Caenorhabditis elegans: one gene and its partner. The protein of the gene in region 1 purifies or fractionates together with the protein of each later gene. This does not show direct contact. Each region holds a gene or a part of one and is shown on either strand. Other genes may lie near its edges. The genes, in order: lpd-3 and Y23H5B.8.

Region 1 (4,989 bases):
GAGTAGAGCTCGATCGTTGGCCGATTCTGTTACACTCGTTTTGCCTCAAAATTATTTTTTTAAATAAATGTTTTTTACTCATTCGTTTGACGGTTTATAAAGGTCAAAATGTAGCTTTAAAATTTTTTAACCTGTTGAAAATCATTTTTTCGGGTCATTTTGCAATTTTTGTGGGTTTTCTTTATGTTTAGGATCTATTTTCAACTCTTAAAACACCTTTTTGCGAGAAAACTAAGGATATCAAAAAAATTTCACGACTTTTTGGCTAATTTTGCACATTTTTCATAATTGAATTTTCAGAATTTTTTTTTTCAATTTTAATTCATCATTCGAGTTTTTTTTTTAATGTTTGCAGTAAAAAAAAAATGAAAATCGTTTTAAAAAATTCTGCGAAATTAAAACTACAGAACTCGTTAAAGGCGCACACCTTTTCGCATTTTACAAGAATTATTTTTCGTTTCGAGACCCAGTATCGTATCGTAGTTTCGGAGCAAAATTTCGGGCCTGTATAATAAAATTCGAATTTTGACTATTTACAGCTGGTGTGGTCGAATTTTTAATTGCATTATTAGACTTAAAATAGCCCGAAAACACCGAATTTCATAATGAAACTTTTTGAAAACTTCTCAAGAAAAGGTTATGACGGCTCAAAATATGGCCTAAAATTAGTTAAAATTTGAAATTTGACCGACTTGTCAAGCGGCTGGAAACTAATTTTTTTTTTGAAATCACCGTCAAATTTTGAGTATTCACGTCAATTATCTTGGTTTTTCAACTCGATTTAGGTATTTTAAATACGATGGACCGCGAGATGTGGTTAAAAAAATTGAAAATCTCGCCGTCCATCGACTTTAAAATACCTAAATTGAGTTGAAAACGCAGGATAATTACATTGTATACTCAAAATTTGACGGTGATTTCAAAAAAGTTAGTTTCTAGCCGCTTGACAAGTAGGTCAAATTTCAAATTTTAACTAATTTTAGGCCATTTTTTGAGCCGCCATAACTTTTTTTTGAGAAATTTTCAGAACTTCTCATTACGAAATTCGGTGTTTTCCGTACTCGTTAAAGGCGCACACCTTTTCGCATTTCAAGGAATTTTTCGTTTCGAGACCGGGTATCGTAGTTTTTTTTTAAATTATTTTTTTAAAACCTCACTATTCAAATTCTCAAATCGTGTCCATAGAGCATAGGGTAGGAATTTATTTCCGACAAGAATGCATCCAGCAGACACTTCAATATGTACAATACCCAATAGATTCCACATATTCTCCCATACAGACGACGGAGGTGATCTACAACTGAACATTGGCTTAGAAATATCTGCACGAAAATTCGATAATATTACGTGTCAGGAGGCTTCGTCTGAGGCCGCCGTGCATCGTTCATATTCGTATTCTCGAAAAACCAATCAAATCTCCGAATTCTCGCGATTTCCGTGTATTTTGTCAGATTATTGTAGATATTAACGTGTAATCCGTTGAGCACAAGATGTAATCGGGAAGCTCGTTTTCTGGAATTTTATAGGATTTTTTTTAGCGAAAAATTGGATTTTTTTGCAAAAAAAAAATAAAATTTTTGAAAACAAAATTTGAGAAAGTTTTGGCATTTTTTGCAAATTTTTAACAAATAAATTCTGCCACTTTTGCGCCCGGTCTCGACACGACAAATTTTGGCTGAATGCGAAAAGGTGTGCGCCTTTAAAGATTACTGTAACTTCAATTTCGTGGAATTTTCATAGATTTTTCATAGTTTTTCGATAAAAATTTATGATTTATTTTTAGAAAACATAAGAAATCGATAAAAATACATAAATTTCAACAAATCGTGAGAAAAACTATTACGGAGACATCTACAGATGAGTTTTTCGCCATATCATACGAGAATGGGTCTCGCCACGCTGAAAATTGGCTACTGTAGCTTTATGGGCCGCTATTGAATAATATTCATCAAACTAAATTGAAAATATTATGCATTATCGGACCATGAATCGACCCAAGCTACAGTAACTCGTTTTCAGCGTGGCGAGACCCATTAGCGTAAGATATGGCGAAAATTCTCACCTTTAGATGTCTTCGTAAATAGTTTTTTTCACGATTTTTTTGTTGTTGGTTTTTTCAAATTAATAATAATTGTAATAACTAAAAAACTATAAAAAGTCGATAAAATTGAAATTACAGTACCCTTTATAGGCACACACCTTTCGGCATTTAGCCAAAATTTGTCGTGTCGAGGAACCGTAGTTTTTTCGAAAAAATCGACTTTTTCGTTGTAAAATCGCAAAATCTAGGGGAATAACGAACGTTGAAAGATTCAAATGTCGATGTTCCACAGATTTCCAATATTTGAATAATAAATGTCCATCGTTAACTTTGATCGTCATATCTCCATTATCATAAATTACGTTTCGAAACATTATTTTGCCGGCGTGCAAGCCTGAGATCGAAATACCACCGATTTTGAAATGGATTCCATTTTTTGATAATCGCAAATATCTGAAAAATGATTTTTTTTTTCGATTTTTACCGCCAGTTTTGTTGGATTTTTCTTTTATAGTGCCCAAATAAATTAATTTCGCAATAAAACTTCTTAAAAATTGCATCAAAAATATCTTAATATTTTATGGCGGTTCAAAATTTCAAAATTTTGGAAAAAAACCTGATTTTAGCAAAAATCTTTTTAGCTAAAATTTCGCAAGTTTTTCCGTTTCTCAGTGGCCGGAAATTAATTTTTATTCGATTATTATACTCTTTGGATGCTTATCTCATGTTATTTCGTTGATTTAGGTATAATTAAAGCTTAAAATGTACCTAAATCAACGAATAACGAGAAATAAGCGATCAAAGAGGAGAATAATCGAATAAAAATTAATTTCCGACCGCTGGGAAACGGAAAACTTGCGAAATTGGAGAGTTTTAGCTAAAATTAGCCAATTTTTTCAACTTTCGAAATTTTAAATCGCCATAAAAATTTATTGAGCAATTTCTAAGAAGTCTCCTTGCGAAATTAATCCATTTTCAAGCAAAAAACCTTCAGTTTTACTCACTTATCTATAACAAAAGTGAAAAAGAGTGCGCTGACTCGCGAGAAAAACAATACGACAAACGTGCTCCACGCCAGGAAAAGTGTGACGACAGAAGCCGTGACCCAGAATGAAACTCCTTTTAAATCGAGCTGAGCATCGTCGATTTTGATTTGAATATCGAAATCCGACATTTTTTTTCGTTTTCGCCGCCGCCTAGAACCCGTAGTAGCCGACTGACATTAACTGAAAAATGAAAAACACATTTTTTTTTTTGGGAGAAAATGCGGAGAAAAATAGCAGAAAAACATTAAAATTCGCGAAAAAATAATAAAATAACAACATTATCAGCATAAAAAATGAAAAATAAACAAAAATCAACACTGCTGAAAATGGGAGGAAAACGCGCCCCATCGCACTTTTCCAATTGGCGGGGATTCAAATCAGTAATTTTACAAAAAGAGTCAGTTTAGATTGTTTTCCCAATGTTTTGAAGTGAAATTAAATGATAAAATATAGACAATTATTTGTTTTATCTGAAAATCGATATTATTTTTGTTAAAACAATTGAAAAAGTGCGAAAATTAGTCAATTTTCAACTTTCACACAGGTTTTGTGCATTTTTTAAAGATTATTTTAAGAGCAAAAAGTGAATTTTAATGGAGATAAACAAAAATACTCAATAAATAAAACGTTAAATTTAAAAAATTTATCGATTCAGTTCTCCGTGACCTTCTAAACTCAACAATTTTTCTGGAAAAACGTGTTCCACTTTCGGTTTTTCCCCAAATTTCAATGAAATTATTCAGTTCTTGTTATTGAATTCTTCAAGAAGTGAGTGAAGTATGATCGATCGCAACATAATCAAGTGTGCACAAATCCTAGTCATCATTCAACTTGGCTTCATTGTTCCCGGAAATGGTAAATTTGAATTTAATTGCAAAATTCTTGAATTAAGGAGATTTGCGATCGCCTTCTTAATACGGTATTCAGTTTACTTTGCTTTCCATGTAAAAGCTTATTACATAGTCGTCAAAAAATGAGAAATTTCGCCAAGCAAGGTCTCGCAGCGTAGTTATATATTCGTCGTAGGACCTTGTGCGTCCAGTGTGGCTGATTTTCGACTACGCACGTGGTGTCAGAGTGTCTTGATCTACGTAGATCTACAGAAAATGCGGGAGAAGAGACGCAGAGTTCTCAACTGATTTCGTATGGTCAAGAACGTGCTGAAGCCACATAATTTTGGGCATAAAAAATCCCGCATTTTTTGTAGATCAAACCGTAACGGGACAGCCTGGTACCGCGTGACTATGTACGTAATACAGTAATTTCCGGTACTTTGTTGCTGTGGTATTTTTATTGATTTTTAATCGAAAAAATCGTGTAAAATTTGATGAAAATGCTGCAGAGGAATTACAGTACTCTTTCAACTTTTCGTTTCGAGACCGCGTACCGTAATTTTAGGGCAAAAATCGTAGAATTTCAAATTCCGGTGCCAACATTCCAAAACATTAATCAAGCTCTCTTTTAGCAAAAATGCAAGCCTTCTCGATTAATGTGACGGAATATTCAATGGCATATCGATTTAAGTGAGATTTTCTTCTTAGATTTTGTTGCTAGAAACTAAATTTAATTAATTAATTAAATAATTAAAATCTTTTTAGCATTTTGGCAATTGGAGGCATTTTCAACATGACAATTTCATTGTTCAATCTTATCTTTGCCCTCTTCAATTTTTACCTAATCTTTGGAAGGGTAAGTGTTCAGAGCTAGAACCCATACAAAAATTCATGATTTTCAGTATGATTTGAGACTTCGTCAAATTGCTGAAAAACTGAAAATCGCGGTGGACGAGATGGCCGGAAGGGATTTGCACCCGAAGCTTAAAAGTTAGTATTCGCAAAAATTTGTTTGGGTCTCGCAGCGAAGTTCCGTCTATTTTTGGGGCGAGGCCGTGACCTCGAGAAG
Region 2 (4,535 bases), 1.1 Mb from region 1:
GTAATCAAATAAACCAATAAAATCAATATTCCAGAGCTGTACAAAATCTCTAAACTGCGACAAAAAAGACAACGAAATTTCGAAGAAAATCACGGATCTGGACGAACTTTGTAATGGAATTGGCGCATTTGGATCATGGTTTGGATATTGTATTCCAAAGGTATTCCAAAAAGACTAAAAGAGACAAAAACTGAAAAAAAATTCAGATTCAAAATGCCATCACATTAATGGAGTGGCCGTGCTTAAGCCATTGGAATAATGCGGTAAGATTTCTTTTTTACATAAGTTTGAATTTTGCGTGCTGTGGAGCGCATTTGCATTACAAATATATGATTTTTAGGCACAACTTCCAACATGCGAGTATTTCGAGGCTGACAATGAATGCAAGACAATGCCAATAGAAAATATATGCGGCCCCCGTGCCGTCAAAGAAATGCTGGATAATGAGAATTTTATTCGTGAATATTTTGGATGCAACAGGATCTACAAGCCTTCAAATAATTCTAGTAATAGCTTGAAAATCAAAATTTCAGGTAATCCTAATTCGAAATGAAGATGTTTGAAGAATGAAGGCAATTTTGAAACTTTTATATAATGCAATTTTGTGCTATCAACTAACTAAATGTTGACCAGATGACAACTTTTTCCTACTTCTCAACATTTTAGAGATAATCTCTGCAAGCATCTCAACAAGTCGGCCGCAGAAAAAAATGACCAATTTTTCATATATCGTTAAAAACAAGCTATCAGCTCACAAACTATCTCAAAATGGATGTATCGCAAATTTTGAATGCACTTTTTATTTAAAACATAAAGATGCACTATTAGCTAGCCCCTACAGTGGGGCTGAGCTCCTTTTGGGGCTGTGGCTGGTCTCCAGCCCCACTTTTTGACGCCGTCTGCGCACTTTCCGATAAATAGAAAAGAAATTAATCGGCGCAGAATGTGCGCAGACGCCTACCTAGTGGCACACAGGGTTTCGTTCGTTTTTCGCATATTGAATTTGTGGAATAAATATATAAATATAATAAATAAATAAATAATAAATAAATAATAAATAACTATAATAAATAACAGAGACAGTTTTATGATAGTTTGTTAGAATTTTAAAAATAAAATAAATCGTTATGGCCAATGTTTTCTTAATGTCCTGGTCATTTATAATTTCAACCAAGATCCCGGAAATCCAAACAAAGGAAATCGATACATCGAAAAATACAGAGAGTCCGCCCATATCCTGAGTTGGGCTTCGTTTCCCGGTTAAAGTTAAAATAAGGTTAAAAAAAACAATGAACACAATATAGGTGCTTTTCATTTGATAAAAAGGGGATCAACCCCCGCGAATCGGAATGTCGTTTGGATACATTATGGCTGATTTTCACAAGTCATCACTTTGACCTTATCCTCATTCTTCAACATATCCTCCCATGCTTCATCTCCGCATTGCTCTTGAACAACCCGTTGAAGCTCTGAAAACTCGTCAGGTGTCAACCAGCACTTTGGTTTATCCTCTCCAATCGTCGTGTTTTTCAGAGTAGTTACGTCGAATTTTGTCTGAAATAAAATGTTCTAGAGGATCTTTTTCGGAGAAGCTTGTAGGTACCTTTTCCATGCATTTACTGAATGGTCCGACTTTTAAGCCCAAGTCTTCACAGGCGGATCTCATGAACATTGTTCCGAATCTCAAAATACTTTTTAGTAGCTCTGGGATTTCCATTGATTCTACGCAGTTCTGAAAACTTTTAATTTTTTAAATATCAAAAAAAAACTAAAAGTGATGTACCAAATTTTGGGCGTGGCCTCTGATGCTCATAATTTTTTTGGGAGCCGTTAAACGGGCGTGGCCTTTCGTTCCGCCCACTTCTTGGTTGTGATCACAGAAGCTCTATCCAGTAGGCTTCCACGCAGGCGCAGAGAAGCCTACCTCGCCCGCCTTGTGGCGACCAAACCATTTTTCCGGAAATTGGTAAATTGGCAGATTGCCGAAAATTTTGGGCAAATTGTGCTTTTGCACAATTTTTTAAAGGAAATTTCAGAATTTCAATTTCAATCGGCAGATTTGTACGTACCTTATAAATTTTCCTACATATATTTTGAAAAGTGAGCAGATTCTATGAAAATATTTAAAGAAAACGGGAAAATTTTCAAAAAAGCACAGTTTTAAGTGTTTCCGTCTTATGAAAAAATCCCTTTAAAAACTTCCGGCAAATCGGCAAACCGGCAATTTGCCAATGTGCTAAATATTCCTTCTCGCCATTGTGTAGAAAAATGTTGAGAGGCCAGAGGCTGAGGCGGGCAGGATGAAGGCAGGCCCTGAAACCGCGCCTGCCTCCCATGGAATTTTTTTTGGCATTATTTGAAACGAATTTAATGTTCACAAACTACATTTGAGAAAAATTGGAAATCGGTGGCCGCAGAATTTCTAGGCCACCTACTACTTTTGCAGAAATTTTTTGTTGAAAATTCAATATTTTTCGAAACTCTATTTTTCAAATTTTTGCTGAAAAAAATAAAACTAACCGTTGTGTCAATGCACATATGATAAAATGTTTCCAAATTACCAATTTTCACATTTTTGCCGTGTTTCGTAGTTTCCAGCTTCAAATTATTCAAAATATTCTTCATTTTGTTGAGCTTCGTGAGACAATTTTCATAGTTTGTTTGTTGCCCGGAGACAATGGAAAAAACGAAGAAAGTCGAGAGAAGGAACAAGAGAATTTTGGCCATTTCGGTGTATAAATATTGAATAATAACAATTGAATAGCAGAAGAAGAAGAAATGACCTATCGAAAGATATATCCCTCGTCTCCGTGAAGATATATCTTCCCGGGAGATAGTCTCTGAAGTCGGGAAAACAAATATTTTGAGGTCAACGGATTCATATTTATTAGGTATAGAAATATCGATTTTTCCAATGGAGAGATGGGGAAAATCGACTTAAATTTTTTTTGTAGTTTTTTATCTGCCATCTATATTTTTTAAAGGGATATGCCAAATTTGTTCAAATTTTTTTCAGAAAAATTCAAAATTTCTGAGCAAAAGTTAGTGGGGAATTAAAATTTGAAACAACGGAATTTGGTGGAAAATTTAAATCTTCTGTGGCAAATATTGGCGGGAATTTCAAATTGTTTGAGTTAATGGGAGGGAATTCAAATTTTCTGAAACAAAAATTTTGGCGAGTAAATTCAATTTTTTTGAACAAAAATTGACGAAAAATTTTAATTTTCTCAGAAATTTTTTTGCGGGAGCTTGAAATCTTTAAAGAAAAACATTTGCGGGTAATTCAAATTTTTGATTTAAAAAAACTTGACGAGAAATTCAAATTTTCTGGGAAACTTTTTTTTTGGCGGAAAAATTGAATTTTCTGAGGAGAAATTAGTGTTGAATTAGAAAAAAAATTTTTAAACAAATTTCTGAAACAGAAATTGGCGGAAAACTTGGTCACACCACATTTTCTTAGGCCATCTGTGACGTCACTCCTCTTCCAGCCGAGATCAACAAGAGACCACTGTAAAAATTATCTAAAATTTTACTTAAAATTTATTTTTCAAAAATATTAAAAAGAAAAAAATTAAAATTAAAAAAATGTCAATGACCGTGCTGACCTTTCTTATCAAATAATCAAATCTCAACTCACGGGACCACAAATCTTGTTCGGCGAAAAATCAATTATTTCGAAATTTCGACTCTTCACAATGAGCTTGGATATGGAGCACCTCCATGGTGCCATGAATTACCGTGAGTTTAGGAAAAGTTGCCGATGGTTGCTGAGCGATCGCCGAGGATGTTGTCGGAGCATTGCCGCTTCTGTTGCCGGCGTGTCTACAAAAATCAATAAGTGTCATAATGGTTGCTGACAATCTTCAATAACTCCGATTTTATTGATTGCCGGTAGTCGCCGGCGGTTGCCGATAGTGGCCGGCAGCAGCCATTACTTGTAACAAATGGATTTTTTTTTCGATTAACGATAGTCACCGCTGACCGCCGGCAATGAAACTCTAATTTTATTGATTACTGATAGTCGCCGGCAATTAACAATAGTTGCCGCTAAGCGCCGATAAATCCAATTTTGCCGGTTCGTAATAGTTAAAGGCAATGGCGACAGTTGCCGGTAATTATCGATTGCCAAAAGTGCCGGAAATATCAATTTATCTCAATTTCCTTGTTTTTCAGTGTGTTTCGCTGCTGCTGCGTCAATTTCTGGAGCGATCATTGCCGTCGGCTGTACCACCGGACATCGTGAGAATTCGCGTGGTGGCAAAGGAAAATCGGCGAGATCAAAGCGATCGAAACGATCAAAACGAGACAAGAAGCAAAACTCGAAGAGACAACAAAACTCGAAACGACAAAAGAAGATTAAGGTGAGTGGAAGAGTTATTTCTCGGCCACTGTAACAACCATCTTTTCAGAGCAATTCTGCCGCTCCGGCACCACCGGCCAAGAGTGGAGTGCCTGCAAAATCGGCGGAGAAGGCAAAGGAAGGATCGCAGAGATCGGCTCGACTCAAGAAGGAGCAGAAGTCCGAGAAGAAGAAG

Evidence for each region.
Region 2: the proteins of lpd-3 (region 1) and Y23H5B.8 fractionate together in Caenorhabditis elegans (co-fractionation; one large-scale study listed by BioGRID). This does not show direct contact.

What each region holds. Positions count from the first base shown.
Region 1 is NC_003279.8:3,597,463-3,602,451, forward strand, and holds the start of lpd-3 (Bridge-like lipid transfer protein family member 1 C-terminal domain-containing protein), read right to left. Parts: upstream 3,268-4,989; 5' UTR 3,216-3,267; coding exon 3,046-3,215; intron 2,495-3,045; coding exon 2,303-2,494; intron 1,513-2,302; coding exon 1,348-1,512; intron 1,301-1,347; coding exon 1,158-1,300; intron 45-1,157; coding exon 1-44. Other genes in the region: Y47G6A.3 (uncharacterized protein), read left to right, coding at 3,867-3,942, 4,553-4,610, 4,686-4,776, 4,823-4,910.
Region 2 is NC_003279.8:2,545,601-2,550,135, forward strand, and holds Y23H5B.8 (T20D4.11-like domain-containing protein), read right to left. Parts: upstream 2,800-4,535; 5' UTR 2,728-2,799; coding exon 2,521-2,727; intron 1,733-2,520; coding exon 1,604-1,732; intron 1,555-1,603; coding exon 1,366-1,554; 3' UTR 786-1,365; downstream 1-785. Other genes in the region: Y23H5B.3 (T20D4.11-like domain-containing protein), read left to right, coding at 35-160, 207-263, 341-553.